Drosophila melanogaster: one gene and its partners. The protein of the gene in region 2 interacts with the protein of the main gene of each other region in a pairwise test. Each region holds a gene or a part of one and is shown on either strand. Other genes may lie near its edges.

Region 1 (4,741 bases), on a different chromosome or scaffold from region 2:
TTTCGGCTTGTTTAATTTAAGTTCTGATTGCTGATTTTCGTATGGATGGAATGCGCATTTTCCGCCCTGCCAATGCACTTTCGGTATAAAGGTGGATTCTCGCATTTGCCGCTTGCATTAACTTTGGGGGCGCCCTTTTGTCAATTGTACGATTCGTCGTTGTTTTCCTCAGCTCGGGACTTATTTCACTTTTCATTGCCTCTTTAATTGCAAATGGTGCGACCCACTTTTTGGCCAAGTCTCGGGTCACCACCATCTCAATCGCCGCACACTGACCGAAAAAAGGTGGCAAAGGGGAGACCCCAAAGCAACGCCCGCGTAACACTTTCGATTTTTATTTCCTCATTACATGCTTGCCAAAAAAAAAAAAGAAAAGACAAATTAAAAATAAAACTCAACCACATGCACAAGATCACAGCAAACCAGAAAAACGTACAAAAAGCTGAAATAAAATGAAGGGTTTGTATCTCTTTTCTTGCAGTCACTATATGTCGTCGAGTCTTTTGTTTTCCCATTACTCTGCGGCCCTTTTTTAACGAGCTCCTTTTGTTGCAGGCCGTTTTGCAATTGCCACGCATTTAGTTGATTAACCAAATGCGTCATAAGGCCCGGAACGCCCCGCTCTCGGATTCTCTGGATAAAATCTATGCCGCGAAAGCAATCGACCTCTGGAGCCCCTCACATCGCAGTTGCCAGACATTAGCGCTCACGTGGCCAATAAAAAACAAAATAACCTGTCGAACTCTTGGCCAAAAGCACTCGAACTGTCGATGGGGCGATCAGTCGGTCAAGTGTTTCGGCAAAAGAGCTCGTTGATTTGCCGATTTTGCACTTAAATTGTTCGCGCTTGTCTGATTTTTGTTTTTGGTTTTTGGCCAATTCGCTAACTTTGTACATTTTTTATGTGCTTTTGTTTTGTATTTTTACGGCGATTTGCAGCTCTGTAATCTGATAAGGGTTTCAAGGAACGATTTAAATAAAAGTATTCGGTTTTAGGTATAAGCCAAAATTGGGGTCAAAAATGCATGTTGCACAGATTGTGTACAAAGGATTAAGAATGATGATCTGGAATATGTTAAAATGCTTCTCTTATTTCTCAAATCTGTGCATTGTAAAAACAATAATATTATGTAATTGCTAAGTTCTATGAATATTTTGCATTCGCTGCGCTTGACGTCTCATCTGGCCATATTTCTGGACCAGAGTGTCTAATTCTCGTCAAGCTTCAGAGTTCCATTTTCTGAGAGTCTCGACTTTTGTTTGAGGTGTTCATGTTCATGTGAGTTTGGACCTCGGTTCGAGTGCCCTTAGGTTGTTTCGCAATTATTCAGACCGTCTGTCTGTCTTTTGGTTTTTCAGTCTTTCAGCGTTGCAGCTTTTCAGCTTTTCAGCCAGCGTCTGTGGCTTTAGACGCTTTAATTTGCGGATAATTTTATAGACATTAACATGCAGTTTTCCTCACTCACTTTTCATATTGCTTGAAATTATTTGGTAAGTCATGTTGCATTTTGTCTAATGACTTGACGAATTAACATTTTTTTACAATCTCTTACTTTTGTTATTTGCATTCGATTCTTTTTGGCCCAGAAAAATTCCCATTTCAATGGTCTTTCGTCTCACAATGATTTGCTGAATTCTAAATCGGTTTCTGTGGCTATGGCGACTTTTGGTTCTTTTGTCAAATATTTGAGTCGAAACCCGTTTTCGTTTCCTATTCTGCATATATATTAGTCGAAACTTATAAATTGTCATCGAGTTACTTAATATTTGAGTGCTCATGCCTACAGCCTGAGCGATCTTCGAGTGGAATTCTAAATGCGAATTCGACGTTTAGTCTTTTGTTTGCTTCCCCAACCTTTCCTCTTCTTTTTGGGTGGGGCATTATGAGCTTTTTTCTAAGGTTTACTTTGTTTCGAAATACAAACACGAAATAGTGTGGGACTTTGGCTGCCCGCTAAATTGAAGTATTTTCGAAATAGCCCCAAACCTGGAAGAGGGGGAGGGGGGAGGCTGTCATTAAAAGCAGCGCCTCTAAACACAAATCATAGTTATGAGCAGTAAATTACAACCAAATGCTCGGCAATTAACCGAGAGTGCAGCTAACGGATAATTACACGGCGGAACTACCTAAGCCACACTAAGTCTGATAAGAGATTTTAGCCCTGATTGAGATCTCAGACTGTTTATATTTGTATTTCGATATGGAGGCGTCCATCATTAGGCAACCATTCATTATTGATTCGAGAGATATTCATTATTGGTTGCAGTTAATGAAGCGGCTGTGGCAGTGGCATTGGCAGCGAAATTCTTCGATTCGCTGATTGAACTTAGCATTGCAAAGCACTTTCCGGGTGGCACTTAATGTGTTAAACATTGGCACAATTAATTAACCACAGCACCTGTTTATCCGCAGCCAAACTCGATGACTTTGATACACAGTAAACAGAGACAGGGACAGAAAGAGAGAGCTGGGAAGATGATCGTGACAGGTGTGAGAATGTGTTTTGGGGGCAAAACCGATCGACGAGCTTAGAAGCAATTATCTGTGCGGAATTTTTGGGGATTTTTTCAATGCACCCCCCCCCCCCCCCCCGCTTATATTTGCACTTCACTCAAAGCAATTTTCTTCGCATGTTTTTTTTTTGTACATTCGTTTACGCTCAACCGGCACGCCGAGCTGTCAGCTGAGTGATGAAAAAAAGTGAAAAAAAACACAAAATTGCACATAAATTAAAACGTCAACAGAAGAACAAACAAACGAGCTACGCGCACTTTGTCAACGATTATTATTACTTTAACAAGACATCAGGCGAATAATATACACACTTTTGTAATTTGTTGGCTGACAACTGATGAAATGGTCCCTACACATAGAGGGATTTTAATTGAATATATATATTTTTTTTTTACTTTTGTCTTGCGCATGCGCGACGACCGACCGGCCACGTTTTGAATTTTGGCTGTATTTCTCGTCTCGACGGACTGGCGGTTGTGACTGCGACTGCGCGAGTCAACGAACGAATTCGTAGTGAGTTACTAGGTTTTCAACTGAGTTCCAAAACCGGCAACTCGAGACTCGCCAGCCGATCGGACCACGATCGACTATATGGCTTTGGCTTCGGTTTTCATTCGCTCGCCTTGAGACGGTCACATAAATTGCATGCGATAAATGCGACGATTGGATTTGAATGGGTTTTCGCTTAATTTTAGGTTTTGTTTGCACGACTCTGGTACGCGACATTTCCTCAGATTTCACTTCCCCATTAATCTCGCGTTCTTGGTCAATTACAAAACAATTAAAGCGGCAAAACGCAGTTAATTGTGGCGGCGGCAGGGAAACTTGAAAACTCGAACCCAAATCGCTGGCGTTTTTCGCCAAATGCAGAAGTAATCAACGGCGCAGGAGGGGGACAGCCGGCGGTGCAATCAGAATGATAATTGCTGTCATGACAAACGCAAAAATAAAGTTTAAATAATAATAATTTCACTAGCTGCAGTTGCAGAATTCGCAGGATATCGCTGCAAATGGGCTGCGACAAGGGGCGGCAACATTAAGAAACCATTAGCAACAGCAGCCCTGTTGGCAACTGTCAAAAAGCGAAGCATAACACTGCGAGAAACAAATTAAATTAAAAATAATCCAATTAATAAATAATTCATATATTAAGTAAATCTCTATAGAATACTATATTATTACTAAGTATGGAAGGGAGCCCACATAATATATATCTTAAGGCCATAGATTGATTTGAAGTTAGCATATATTTCTTTTAGTGCAGCAGTAACGGTTTCTGCCCCCATCAGCAGCAGCTCAAGTAACAGCTGTGGCAGATGAGTGGGCGCTGCGCTGAAGGGTCAATGCAGTCGCAGTCACAGTTTCCGATCACAGTTCGCAGTCACCGCATCAGCGGCATCATTTTTCAAGTGGACCACTCGACGAGCGGCAGTAGCAACAAAAAGCAGGGGCGGTGGCCAAGCGGCTGCTTCAGGGGGCGCCAGAGTTTGAGGACCGCCTCTTCTGGGCCTCCACAAATGTGCCCATTCATTAGGGTTTAATAAATAATTTTTTTCCTCCTTTGCGGAGTTCCTTTTTTTTTGTGTTATTTTGTTTGAGGAGCACAGTTGGCGAGACTTTGACAAGCATCTTCCATACAGTCCACCCCCTTTACTCGACCAGCAGGGGTTGACGTTTACCAGCATCTGGCTTTGTGTGTCAAGTGGCGCTGCACAAACAACCGACTCGGGAGCTCGGGAAGGGCAAAGGATTAGCAGTGAGTTCCGGGATAATGTGCTAACCTCCGGGTGGATGGATGAATAAAATGTAGCTCATTGAGGTACAAAGTTTATAATCGGACATTTTAGGGCAAAGAATTTCGGTATGAGATGTATATTTGAGGTTTTGCATTTAGTGCATCTAGATTTGAATATTTATTTATCATTGTTTTATGATGAACACCAGTGCTTCAAAAATTATGCTCAAATGAACGGTGTGTGGTATAAGTATTTCAATGTGGTTTCTTAAGCTGTCTACCAAAAATTGCTCCGCTATGTTTTCGACTTTATTATGAGTTAAATTGTGTAAAGCAAAGTATCTTTTCTGTAATTATATGAATAATAAAAGCCGATATGGCCTACCACTTATTTTGTCATTATCTTGAATAATTATTTTAACAATTATGTAAAATGAAATTGTGCAACTCCAGTGACCACCATACAGCTGAGCCACCGTGGAACTCTTAGA
Region 2 (3,428 bases):
AACTAAGGCGTGCTGATGAAGCCGCGACGATGTTATATATATATATTTACGTATATACAAGCATATATATTATTCGGAAGTTGTTGTAGTTAAGCACAGATGTATGATGTTAGGCAAAGAGGTCACCCGCTCCGCTGGCTGGAAGGATCCATTGAGGTCTATCCGCGCATGTGACTCTCCCCAGATCCCTTTCCCTCTCACTTATCCTGCATTTAAAGTTCTTAAGTTACCATCATTACCCTCGTTGTTTTTGTAAGCGCTGCGTGTCCCCGGAGCCCTTAGGGGTTTTGGAATCTAGACCTAGTTAAATCTAGTGCTCCGAGCCGCACAACACACCAGTACCCGGCATAACATTATTTGATACTTTTATACTTTAGTTTGGATGCTCACAATTGTCTAGACAACAAGAGAATAAATTGTTGCAAAAGCTTAATTTTATTTTTGTCACCCTTCCTTTACTATTTGTTCTTTAAATCCCACGCTTCCTTTGCCAGCATCTCGAAGAGAAACGGACACTGCACTAGTTCCTGCTGCACTGAAGCACATTTATTTATAAACAATTACACGAATATTTACAATGCACAAAAAATGGGAGGCAGCCTTGAGGAAATGCAATTTCCCTCGCAAAGTTTGCGTCTTTAAAAATTCACCGCAATTAAATCGCACAAATGCTTTGACTAACTAAAACAATGAATTGTCTTTGTCTCGAGCAGTTTAATTTGCTGAACAATTAACAAATTGGAAACGCACACACAACTAAGCGTAGAATCTCATTAAAACCAGGAACCCCTTAACCACCAGGTCAACTCGGAAAGTGGCTTCTATCTCATGCGACGCATTCTGCGATCCATCTTTTTTTGCTTTTTCTCGTCCACCTGGGGATTATCGTCCTGGGCGTTGCGTTGCGACAGCCACGGCTGGATGACGGAGCCCCAGAGCATCCATCCAGCTCGTATGGGCGCCAAAAGCAGCACCAACCAGAAGTAGTTTGAGATGAGGGCCAGCAGCAGGGTGCCGGAAGTAAGGATGATCAAATCCTTAACGTTTCTAGAGGGAGAATCATGTGTAGGCAGAGTACTTCAAAGCTTCTGTGGGTGCACTTACTCCGCGATGCCGCCTTCCATATTTAAGTCGTTGCCGGAGTCCAAAAGAGCACCGCTCTCAGAGTATTTGGCCTGCGACATGAACGCCATAAACTGGTAGGAGCTCCCCAGGATCAGCAACGAAAGAATGTGCATAAACTAATAAAGAACGAGAGGCTGATGATTGAGTTCATTGAGGGGGATTTTCGGCGGCCTACCACTGAGGTTTTGGTGACTTCGAAGACCAGGAAACTGAGGAGCAGAGCGGGTGCAGCACATCCAATGGCCATGTTCCGGTAGAAAGTCAGTGTAGTCTTGTTTTCCTCCACGATTTGCTTGGCGCCCTTCGTGCCTTGTTTACCCTTTTGCTGGGGCTGAAAGTGGACAAGCGGTTTTATGTAATCCTTGAGAGCGTTATCCCTGTGCTAGTTACACTTACAGCCATGGTGGGATTGCAAGTTGTGTGTCAGCTATTTCAAAATCTAAAATCGGACCACTATTTACGTGGCGACGTCTTCAACTGAACAAAACGGTGTTGAAACGACAGTGCTGTGAAACGTGCGCATTACTTATGTTAAGCATGGCCGTAGAGGGAAAGTGATATTAAGGGTAAATATAGCATTTAAAACTGTAATGGAAAGGTACTTAAGCAATTTACTTATTTTAATTTGCTCTTAATATATTATTTACAAATTGTTGCACCCACAATATATTCAATCTACGCCCACGGTGCTGGTTTATTAAAAAAAAAACTTGCCATTCACAGTGAAGCGGCAGAACAGCTGCTGGGCCCTCAGCCTAATAATCGAACTTTGGATTTTGGATTTGGCATAATTTTGATTTTAGCTGTCCAACGAGCTGTGCGGTCACAACATAAATATGGATCAACTGGTGCAGTTGAACAATCAGGCTGGCGGACGGGACAAAATCGCCCGACTTATTCAGTATGCCTCGCGTGCAATGTGGGACTCGCTGGAGTCCGCCAATTCCAATCCAGCGCTTGTGGACAACTTCAAGACGGTTGAATACATCCTGAGCACATTCCGAAAATGTAGGTATTCTAAGGTATTCCACGAGCACGTAGCTAATCTCATTTCAACTCAGTACTCCGCTTTGGTAAGTGCGTTGATGTATTCTACGGCGCTCTGAAGACCATTCACCATCCGGATCTTAACATCCGTGTGACGCTCACCTTAAGCAAGCTGTCACAATCGCTGTTCCTCTTCGCCGATCACTTCCTCTGGCTGGCCAGGACGGGACTGACGGCGGTGAACGCCAAGCGCTGGTCCAACATCGCCAATAAGTACTGGCTCTTCTCGATCATAATGAACTTGTGCCGGGACTTCTACGAGATCCTGAGAGTACTGGACCTGCATCGATCCGGTAGCAAGAGCGGCATTTCGCGCTGCCGCATCCCCGCGAGCATCAACTCGCCGGAGGACTTTAAGCGCCTTGCCCTGCAGTCCTACGTGCTGATGCAGGGACACAAAGACATAGTTGTGGACACGGTGAAGAATGCGTGCGACTTCTTCATTCCGCTGACGGCTCTGGGTTACACAAGTCTCACGCCCCGGACAATTGGACTCCTGGGGGCAATTTCATCGCTGGCTGGACTCTGGGCTCTGCTGGAACCGAGGGCCAAGCTAACGCCTGCATAACACCTGATATTGGAAACTTTGTAGATAAGGGCCTGTATTTCCTTGTATCTATTTTAAGTGTTGTATGTATTGTATTTGTATTTGTGCTCGGATTAAGCTGAATGATAAACAAACGATTTTATTAAACCGTCACCTTGGTTATCCTCACCCTGTCAGCGCCCTTGGGCGAATGGCAAACAGCTGACGCCATATCCGCGGACGCGAATGGCACATTGCTAGTTGTGTTTTCTTGCTTTGCGTTTGCTGTTTATCAAACGCCTTTTGGCTAATGGTCCGCAGTCCGGTGGCGTTATCACGGAATTGACGAGGCCGATGCGTCACATGTGCGTGGGCTGCATCCGGACACCATGAACTACTCGTACTCCGCGCTGTCGCCCGGCGGTAGCGGAGGATTCGGTGGCGTTGACCAGCACAACCGATGTTGCGGAAACAAGGCCTGGTGCGTCAAGGACATCTGCGGCATTGTGTGCGTAATCATGACCTGGCTGCTTATCCTGTTCGCCGAATTCGTGGTCATGCGGCTGATCCTTCTGCCCAGCAACTATACCGTCTTCAGTACCATCAACATGATCATATTCCAGGCACTCGCCTTCCTGGCCTTCGCCTCGCACATACGCACAATGCTCTCGGATCCGGTGAGTTGCTGATGGCCATGCACTTTATACTACCTTATCTATGTATGTAGGCG
Region 3 (5,772 bases), on a different chromosome or scaffold from region 2:
ATTCGACTTTCGGTGGAAAGAGGTTTCTGTGACCTGGTTCTTGGTTCTTAAGCAGTATTCCTTGAAGGGAACCCCATGAACTTTACCTGGATGCCCGAAGCGCTTGCTTAAGCTGACCCTGGAGCTTGCCGACCCGGTTATTGGCCACCTCGAGCTTCAGCTGGCACATCTTGAGGGCATTGCGGGTGTCGGTGACCTCCAGCTGGGACTGATTGACCTTGCTGGCGGCGTGGCTAAGCATCTCCTGGCAGGCGGTGTCCAGCGTCGACTTCTCGCCCAGACCCTGTTCGGCCAGGTAGACCATCTCCTTGGCGGCGGCATGAATGGACTTGGCCTTCTCGTGGTTGGCGGCGGCCAATTGCGTTTCCTTGGCCAACTGGGCGGCGTAGATGCGAGATTCGTAGTACGGCTTGGCGGCATCAATCGAGTTGCCCAGCTTGTGGGCGGCTGCCTTGATTCTCACCACACTTTCCGCCAGCAAACGCTTGAATTCGCACTTGGCCTCCTTTTTTTTTTGGTTTGTTTTGGGACAGAGATCGCAAGCAATAATGGTAAGTAACTGGGGTAACTGGGGAAAAATCAATACTCGCCCACTCACATCGAGCTCCACTTCGTATCGGTTGATGTTGTCCGTGGCGGAGTTCAGCTTCTCCAGCTCCACCTAAGCGGGCTCCCGAGGATTAGGTTGTTTGGCATATGTAGGTGTATGTATGTATGTGTGTAGGTGGTACCTACCTGGACCCTCGGATCCACGGGCGTGTTGCTCTCCGTTGACATGGTGCCTGGCTGATTTGTGGGGGAGGGGGATTGGGGTGGTCGATTCTCGGGTCTTGCCTGGATTTCACCGTGGAGTTGCCGTAATGGATGCAGTGCAGCAGGGCAGCGGGGCAGCGGGCTCGTTCAGTGGGTCAATTGCATCTGGGAATGCGATTCATTTTCCACGGCACATCGCGAATAGCAAAAGCAAAGCAAATCGAATCAATCGTGGAATGGAATCAAGCGAGCTTTTGCAGACACAATTATGACAACACGCTCCGGAGCTTTTGCGTTTGGCAAGCGCAAAAAGCTCTGGTCAGCTGCTTTTTACCGTTGCAAAGCGCGTAGAAACTATCGTTATCTTCTATTCCTAGGCAAATATCGATAAGTAAATAAAAAAAATTTCTCAGTTATTACGAATATATTATTACGAGATATCAAATAAAAACAAACAAATTTCTTTTATTCACTTGCGATTGGAACTCAGAATATGGGCGGTTCCCACTGTAATGCCATTATCTCAAAAACTGTGAATAATTATTCTATAAAATTTTCTGAAATGTCCTTAAAGAAATTACCTTTAAGGTAGTCTATTCAATTGCAATTCTTTTTAATTGCATATTTTATATACCTTCTTGAGTCCTATAAACTTAAGTCGTGGTAGATAGTAAGATTAATCATTTTTATTTTATTCGAATTCACCGCCAAACGAAAAACTAAATAAATAAAATAATGTAAAATTCTAAAGCAAATTAAAATTAAAAAGAACTGCCACACTTTTCACTTTCCATCGTTCCACGAGCAACGCTTAGTCATCGCCGTTTGCTTGACGCGCTCACGAAATACTGGAATCGACGGCGCCTGGTCACACAGCACCGATTGCACCTAGTGTCATGTGCGTGCATGTGTGTGCGTGTGTGTGTCAGTGTGTCGTATGAATTGTGGCGACCAAGTGCGCGAATAAAAATAAGTAAATAAATGCACATTGCGAGCGACGGTGCGTGTGTGCAGGCGCCAGATGGTGCACTTGGATGACCCCAACAACGAGTGACCCCGCTCGAAACGCATTCGAAGTTCGAAATCCGAAATACCAAAATCCAAAATCCAGAGACAACAGCCGCAGCAGCAGCAGCGGCAGCGGCAACAACAAAACGGCGATCGCTCGCACACACACGCACACACAGGTAGTAATCCGAACGGTAAGTTGCGTTCCAACTGATAAAAACTTATCACACCCCCCCCCCCCCCTCGAAAATAACGTGAATGGAAAAGATTCGATAATTCGAGTTTTGCTGCTCCACTTGTCACCTCATCTGTTTCCATTTGTCATATATTCATTTGCTCCAAATTCCGCTTTCTTTCGTTGCTTGCATGGCACACAGACAGCAGCGGAATAACGGTAAAGCTAGCGCCGACACCCACCCCCCCCCTCCCCGCCAGACAGGAAGTGGTGAATAATTGAATATTCCAACAACGTACCACCGACTAAATAATGGCCACGGGCGGCGGTGGCAGCGGCCACGGGGGAGCGGGATCCGCCGGAAATGCTGACCACCACAAGCGCAACACCTTCACCAGCTATGTGGCACCGCTACCCGGAGATTTGCGCGCCACAGCGGACACGAACGAATGGTGCCTGCCCAGCGATTTGAGGGACGTCCATCTGGCCAAGCCGCGACTGCTGCACGGCGAGCAGATAGTGGCATCGGCACCAGCCTACATGTACTCACCGATCGATCCGATGGACAGCAGCGGAGGCAGTGGCTCTACGCTCAGCGCCATATCATCTGCGTCCGGTACGCCAGCGGATCGTCATCACAAAGAGGCCACCTTCGGACTGTTGAGTGTCACCAATTTTAAGCTGGCCTTTGTGCCGCTGCATGAAAAGCGTAATCAAGCGATCACAGCGCCACTGATCGATCTATATCAGGAGAATACCTATTTGGGCCGCAATGAGATTACGCTAAACAACATCGATCATATCTATACCATTACCGAGCTGGGACGGGCGGCCAGTGCGCTGCAGGCGGCGCGAGGCATGGCCAGCCATGCGGGCATGAGCAGGCGCAAAAAACTGGAGCCCTTCAAGCAGCAGAACATCAGCGGTCGCATCGCCGCCCTGCATATCGTGTGCAAGAACTTTCGCCTGCTGAAATTCGCCTTCCAGCAGCAGGATTCGAAGATGTTTGGGGCCAGTGATCAGGGCAAACTGATTGCCTCGGCCCTGGTGCGTTTCGCTTATCCAATGCGGCATGATCTGAGCTTCGCCTATGCTCATCGAGAGCCATACTATTCGACACTGGGCGCATCCGGCACTAGTATGTATGCGACGAAAAACGACTGGGCCAGAGAGCTGATACGCTGCGGCGCCACCGAGTGGCAGGTGGTTAGCTGTGCCAGTGTCCAGCTGCTGCAGAATCCCCTCCAGGCGGGCAAGTACACTGTGCCGCCGCATTTTGTCATACCGAAGAGCTGCAGCGTGGATCGATTCCTGGATCTGTCGCGCGCCTTCTGCGATTCACGAGCTGCCTTCTGGGTGTATAGCTATGGGAGCAGCGCGGCACTGGTCAGATTAGCTGAACTGCAGCCGGCTGCGCAGCAGGACACCAAATCGGAGAATGTGATGCTGGAGCTGGTGCGCAAATGTGATGCGGGGCGACAGCTGAAGCTCCTACAGCTGACGGATCGCCTGCCGAGCATTCAGGATGTGCTGCGCGCCTATCAGAAGCTGAGGCGCCTATGCACGCCGGAAACGCCGGAGAAGTTTATGCTGCAGGATGACAAGTACCTGGGACTACTCGAAAAGACCAACTGGCTGTTCTATGTGTCGTTGTGCCTACGCTATGCTAGTGAAGCGTCTGCCACGCTGCGCAGCGGCGTTACCTGTGTCCTCCAGGAGTCGAATGGCCGTGATCTCTGCTGTGTGATTAGCAGTCTGGCGCAGCTATTGCTCGATCCGCATTTCCGTACTATCGATGGCTTCCAATCGCTGGTGCAGAAGGAGTGGGTGGCCCTGGAGCATCCGTTTCAGCGACGCCTGGGTCATGTCTATCCTGCCCAGCCGGCCGGCGGTAATGCCGAACTATTCGACAGCGAACAGAGTCCAGTGTTTCTGCTCTTCCTCGATTGCGTGTGGCAGCTGTTGCAGCAGTTCCCCGACGAGTTCGAGTTCACGCAGACATACCTGACCACGCTGTGGGACTCGTGCTTCATGCCCATCTTCGATACCTTCCAGTTCGATACGCAGGCCCAGCGACTGAAGGCGGTGACCGACTCGCAGCTCGTCCTGCGTCCCGTTTGGGATTGGGGCGAGCAGTTCTCGGACAAGGACAAAATGTTCTTTAGCAATCCGCTGTACCAGCGCCAAAGGGGCGATCTTGGCGCCCAGGCGGCTGCCGTGGCGCATCGCAGATCCCTGGCGGTGGGTAGTAAGGGAGCGCATGGCGCCGCTAGTGGTGTCACACCCTCGCGCAACACCATCAATCCGCAGCTCTTTGCGACCGCTTCGTCAGTGCCGCAGGATCGTTACCTGCAGCCGGCACATCGCATCTTCGATCTGCAGGTGTGGGATCAGTGCTACTACCGCTGGCTGCCCATTTTGGATATACGCGGCGGCGGCCAGCCGCAGGTGGATCTCTATCATCGCCTGCTGCTGAGCAACATAGCAAAGGTACAGCGCTGCCTGGATTATCAAAACTTTGACGATCTACCCGATGCGTATTACGAGTTCGCCGGCGAATCGCGTCCCAATCAGCACAAGGACGAGAAGCCCGACAAGGAGGACGAGGCCGAGTTCGTCGACGGTGTGGAGCGGCGCAGGAAGCCGACGGCGAAGGCCGCCACACCCACTAGCGGACTCACATCGGTTACCGGCAATCTGCAGCTATCGACCCTGTCGTCGTTCTTTCCCTTCGGGAATCCCATCGCCGGAGATGCACCGCTCCAGCTGTACGACATTCTGAGCAGCAGCAGCGAGCTGCTGATGGAGACCTCATCCTTTCTGGACAAGTCGTCCATTGTCTGATCCGCACACAAATCGGAGACACCACCACACACACACTCGTTCCACTTGTTTATTCAAAACGCTGAACTTTCGAAGTATTACACAAAAAACAGAATATAATTTGAGAAGAAGAAGAAAAAACACACACACACACACACACACAGAGGTGCAATTTCCTCACATATACATGGCATATCGCTTTTAACACTTTTGATTATTGTTAACTAATAAGCAAGTTATGGTATAAGTTTTTTTTTATTTCGTTTTACTACCACCAAACTGCATTGCATCGCTGCATTATAAAATTAAACGTAAATAATACGATTAACAAACGTAACGACAAGCAATTGATGTAAAACGAATTCAAAACACAAATCCGCAAAAACGAAAACGTACGAAAACACCAATTAAATCAATATGTATTATATTGTATGTAACTAAATATATGAAAGACTATTGATCGATATGTATATTTAAATAAATCAAATGTGTAAAATCAACAAAATGTGTTCTGATTGCGGCAACTTTTGAGAATTAAACGAATTAGGAACTATGAATATATATGGGTGAGTCAGCAAAAAAAATCGCATTAATATGTAAGCTTATGATTTTAAATTGAAGTGGATAGTTGGATAATTGAAAAGATAAAATAATTGACTAACAGTTTGGCTTTCGAAACGATTTGTGTTTGCTATTCTGAATAATTTTGGGTTCTTAATGTAACTCAATAAAAAGTTTAAGATTTTATAATTTAAAAAAAAGGAGCCATATAAGGGTTAACATAATTACAAGCTTCGATAAATAACTGTTTAATTCCCGATTTTTATTTATGATTTCATTTTATAGTTCGCTTGGACTTTCAGTTATAATCATAGCACATAGAAGTTATAATGAATTTATAAATATGCTATTATTATAATTTATTATTGGCACGAGAAACTAGATTAAACACTCAGCGAAATGGGTAATACAAATACGTTCAAGGACATAAAGGATTACACAATGAAAATCAT
Region 4 (4,324 bases), on a different chromosome or scaffold from region 2:
CTTTACCACCTTTTTACCCTTTTCTCGTAACGGAAAACGTCAGTCAGTCAGTTGTTACCCAGTTAGGCAGTAAAGCAGTAAAGCATTTCCCTCGACTCTTGCCGGTTCGGTTCATTCAACTAAATAATTTGAGTGGCATTCATGCAGGTCCACTGGCTCACAGCTCATGTTTCAGGATTCCCTGTTTGGTCCTGACTGCTGCTGTTGGTACATTCGTTTTGTAATTGTGTGGCAGGTGACGGCAATCTTCCATTGTTCGAGCTATGAAGGCCGAGCCGGGAGTTCGAGTTCGGTTTCTACTTGAACTCACCCCATGTCGAATTGTAAGGGCGAAAAGTGCCCCCTACGATAAGAACAAGCTGCAGTGCACACACACAAAGCCATTCGTTTTATGTGCCCTGCAATATACAATATTTATTTGAATTTAAGTCCTTTGTTTGGGACCTGAAATCCGCACACAGCGGTACACTGATTCCAGGGTTGTTTGCTTTGGCTACTATTTTTGACTTTGTCCAGGAGTTCGTCCATTCTTCCCACTCGCAAAACCATTTTCTGGCTCGTTTTGATCGTCAACTTTATTTGCAAAAATAAATCTTTATGGTTTTACATCGAAATTCAATCTTATCACCTTAAAGTTCTGGCCCTGACTAGCTCGCTTTCCTTGCATTGCAATAACTGATATAGAATCTGGCATAACCTACATACACTTAATCGATTGTACAGTTAATTATGGCTAATACCTGGTTCATTTTAAGAATCCTTATAGATAGGTCTTAAATCTAGAATGGCAAGGTACGTATCGCTTACACTAAATGGACAACCGATTTGTACTATATAGTCAAGAAGAATGCGAATATGTTGAGAAGAAGAGTGCTTTTTGGAAAATTGATTACCCTAAGCACTTTTAATTCAAATATTCACCAGAGATCCGCAAGAAGGAAGCCAATGAATACAAATATAATGGGAATTCATATGAATTAATAATGAGTTCGTGAAGCTTAACTTTGGATGTTTGACTTTAAATTGGTTAATCTATTGAGGATCCCTCTATAACATGAAACTAATTGAGTTCAAAGATTAGCGCAAGTGTGAAATATACAATTTTTAAAGATATTTCATTTTCAAACTTGATGATAATCTTAGCAGTCAATTAGGTGCCTCGCTTATTACCAATATCAACGGATTGCAGGAAAGTTGAGAAAAGTAAGGAAGGGAAATCCCGAGATAGGACCCATAAGTTACTTTAGTTATGTTTTTAAAGTAAGTCAAGGGCAAATCGCTTAGAGGAATTCCCCTTGATCAGTTTCCTGCAATTTCCGGCAATCTTTTAGTATATCACGCTGAAAACCCTAAGATCGTAGTTTGGCCCACAAAACTGTGCTACACCTGCGGGGCGAAGTTTTTGTAGCTGTGTTGATGTGGAACGGGATGCACGTGTGCCTGATCCTCCGGATAGTCCTTCCATGGCGGTGTTTGCGAGTAGAAGCTGCTCTGCTGGTGAATCCCAGAATCCAAGTTCGTAGAATGAAGATTGGCAGCTGCATCGAAGGATCCCCTGAACAGATCGTATTTCTCCTGCGAGAACTGCTGCGGGCTGGACTCCTGCTGGGGATTAGGCTGCAGATGGTGAGGCTGATGCGGCTGCTGTTGCTGTTGGTGGTAAAACCGCATGCTGCCTGTAAAGTCGAATCCTGGTGGCTGCTGCGGATAGTCCATGCCGTGCTGAAAGCCACCCATCGCCGGCGGCTGCTCCGCGTGCGATGCTGGAGCAGTCTGGTGCTGTGCAAGAGGCGCCATTCCCTGTCCATAGGGGAACATTCGTCCGAACAAGGGATACGGCTGTGGATTCACGAAAAGAGCATCGAAGAGCTCCTTGGTAATCCTCTCACCACTCAGCGTGAAGTTCTGCAGCTTCTCCAGATCCAGGTTGATTGAACCTCCGCTTTCCAGCACCTGCTCCAGGGCAAAGATGTAGTTGTGCGCAAATCGCAGAATCTCGATCTTCGTCAGCTTCGTCTCCTCGGGAAGCGAGGGCAGAGTGACGCGTAGTTTCTCCAGGGCATCATTCAAGTTATGCATCCGATTCCGCTCCCGGTCATTGGCCTTCATGCGGCGGAAACGCTTGATCTTCACCACTTGGGTTGGACTGCGCGAGCGAGTTACTCTGTTCTTGCCGACGGCATATTTGCGTTTCGGTCGCGGCGCATTGGGATCCTCTGGCGACTTCACCGGCGTACTGGTCAATGGCGGATCGAAGACGCCATTCGTGGCCCGACTGTTCAGATGTTCGACCAGTGTCCTGCCGCTCCGAGTGCTGTGATTGCTGCTCGTATCGAGCAATCCCACGAAGCCCGCCGGCGGTGAGCTGAGCGGTACGGCGTCCCAGGTGCCGCCGGAGTACGGTTGCGGGATCGCCGGAGTCGGCGGAGTGCCAAAGTCCAAGCGGCGTCGTGAGCTCAACTGGGCCTCCGTCTCGAAACTCTTCTCGTAGCCACTGTCGAAGGAGGCGTCGTCGTCGTCCTCGTCGAACTCGAAGGACTGTGATCCAGCGCTATAGGCATTGTAGCAGGCGGCCATGATCTCGTATCTGTATCACGGTGTGTATATCCTTTAGCACATTTCCGATTTACGATTTCCGCTTTGAGAGAGTTGTTTCTTCGCGTCTCGCGTGCCCGCACCAACTAAAAGCTGGCGAGGAGTGCGCACCGGTTTTATGTGCCCGGCCAGCCATTAAGCCCGCTGATTTGGGTCCGGACTAACAGGCATCAACCCTCGGCGCATTGTCGTCGGTCGTGGCGGCGCCATAGCGCAAAGTAGAGAGCACAGAACCCCGACACAAATCCCAACAGATATGCGCCGTGATTGCCGCCCGGGGGTGGCTTTTGCCAACTCACACACCAACGTCGTCTAGCTAGAACTGCCTGCAGCGGGGTGAACTTCCTGGAGATGGAGATTCGTTCTGCGGGCCGCCGCTACCAGTCAAAATACGAGCATTTTTCACGCTTCGCTGCGAGCGGTGCTCTCTAGGCCAATCGGAAGGATGTCTGCGTCCGAGGATCAGCGGTGTCGCCAACGGCATCATCAAAGCTCGTCTCTATAGTCATACCCTTCCTCTAGGGTTATTTAAATACAATGTGCTTACTGCACAGCTTAAACTTAATTATATTTATATTAATGAATGAGTAGTATTGTTGGTCAATTTAAGATATGCTTTATATTATAGTTAAATTAAAAGAAGAAATATTATATTATTATATATTTTGTAAAAATCACTTAGTTTAAGGATAAATCCAAAAATTATTTGAAATAGGGAATACTTTTGTTTAATATGATATCTTCGGATCATTACGACTTTGTTATATTTTCGGTGTAGGTATAATTTTCGGACGAGATTTAATCCATTTCCGTACTAAAAGATTTCTTACCCTTTCCTACATATATAGAGTATGTGTGCTTCGTGGACTAAATAAATTGTTATTTTGTTTTATCGCCACATCGAAATAATGCGATTGCAATTCAAAAGATTCAATTACCATCAACTCTTTCGCCTTTCGCAACTAAACCGCAATAATCGTTTAGGGCTTACGCCTGTCGCTAAACGGGTTAGTGGCACGTGGCCAGGATGCCGCCTCCACTTACCAAAAGCAACATGTGTATTCAACGGAAAGCTCTCACTCCCACAGGACTCCATCCTCCTGGTAGAAAACCCAGGCGTTGCCACGTGCCGCGGTCTTAACGGCTGCTCAAGTGGCAAAGTGTGCCGATGTGGGATTCCTATCTGTGGCAATCCTGTTAAAGGAGGATCGGAGTTGCAATTTCAAGTGGGCGACGGGTGCCACGTGCGGATTTGTTATGATATGCGGCAATTGCCGCAAATTACCAGCACGAGTGAGAACTTGAGTGTCGAGGGGGCTAATTTAGTAATATGCCACATTTCAGGCAGTTCCTCCTAATGGAAATGAATTGAGTGCTTTTGTTGAAAAAATATAAACCTTGCTTCAGTAATTGTGACACCATCAATTTTTTCTTTAATAGTGCTTTATAAGGTAGCTAAGTATGTTATGAAAAATGTACTAAGTAGAGCTGATGTTTGATTAATTTCCTTATAGATTTCAAAACCAAGATAGTTTTATATAAATAAACAAATACTTAATGGTATACTTATTTATTTATTTTTTAATCAGTTTTCTTGTATGATCAGTACAATGAGTGTTTTCGTAACTTATAAAATATATTTATATATATATAAATATATTTATATATATAAATATATATAAATATATTTATATTGAAGTTTTAAACAGAATATTAATGGTAGTTTGTA

Evidence for each region.
Region 1: the proteins of CG8320 (region 2) and lute interact in a two-hybrid assay, tested with the Drosophila melanogaster proteins (one large-scale study listed by BioGRID).
Region 3: the proteins of CG8320 (region 2) and CG14411 interact in a two-hybrid assay, tested with the Drosophila melanogaster proteins (one large-scale study listed by BioGRID).
Region 4: the proteins of CG8320 (region 2) and tap interact in a two-hybrid assay, tested with the Drosophila melanogaster proteins (one large-scale study listed by BioGRID).

The regions. Positions count from the first base shown.
Region 1 is NT_033777.3:17,378,221-17,382,961, reverse strand, and holds the start of lute (lute), read right to left. Parts: upstream 3,019-4,741; 5' UTR 2,827-3,018; intron 834-2,826; exon of another isoform or gene 556-833; intron 460-555; exon of another isoform or gene 195-459; intron 1-194.
Region 2 is NT_033778.4:15,990,806-15,994,233, reverse strand, and holds CG8320 (uncharacterized protein), read right to left. Parts: upstream 1,827-3,428; 5' UTR 1,789-1,826; intron 1,651-1,788; 5' UTR 1,528-1,650; coding exon 1,522-1,527; intron 1,457-1,521; coding exon 1,301-1,456; intron 1,242-1,300; coding exon 1,105-1,241; intron 1,048-1,104; coding exon 822-1,047; 3' UTR 527-821; downstream 1-526. Other genes in the region: ATPCL (ATP citrate lyase), read left to right, coding at 1-6; Pex11ab (peroxin 11a/b), read left to right, coding at 1,962-2,133, 2,187-2,740; CG8314 (uncharacterized protein), read left to right, coding at 3,088-3,375. UniProt on the Drosophila melanogaster protein: May play an important role during development and helps to maintain proper levels of Fz.
Region 3 is NC_004354.4:14,831,006-14,836,777, forward strand, and holds CG14411 (uncharacterized protein), read left to right. Parts: upstream 1-1,641; 5' UTR 1,642-1,940; exon of another isoform or gene 1,941-1,955; intron 1,956-2,138; 5' UTR 2,139-2,248; coding exon 2,249-4,780; 3' UTR 4,781-5,257; downstream 5,258-5,772. Other genes in the region: CG14408 (uncharacterized protein), read right to left, coding at 87-505, 599-661, 736-777; CG14410 (uncharacterized protein), read left to right, coding at 5,720-5,772.
Region 4 is NT_037436.4:17,358,046-17,362,369, reverse strand, and holds tap (target of poxn), read right to left. Parts: upstream 2,689-4,324; 5' UTR 2,578-2,688; coding exon 1,381-2,577; 3' UTR 559-1,380; downstream 1-558. UniProt on the Drosophila melanogaster protein: May play a role in the specification of the sugar-sensitive adult gustatory neuron and affect the response to sugar and salt. Regulated by POXN.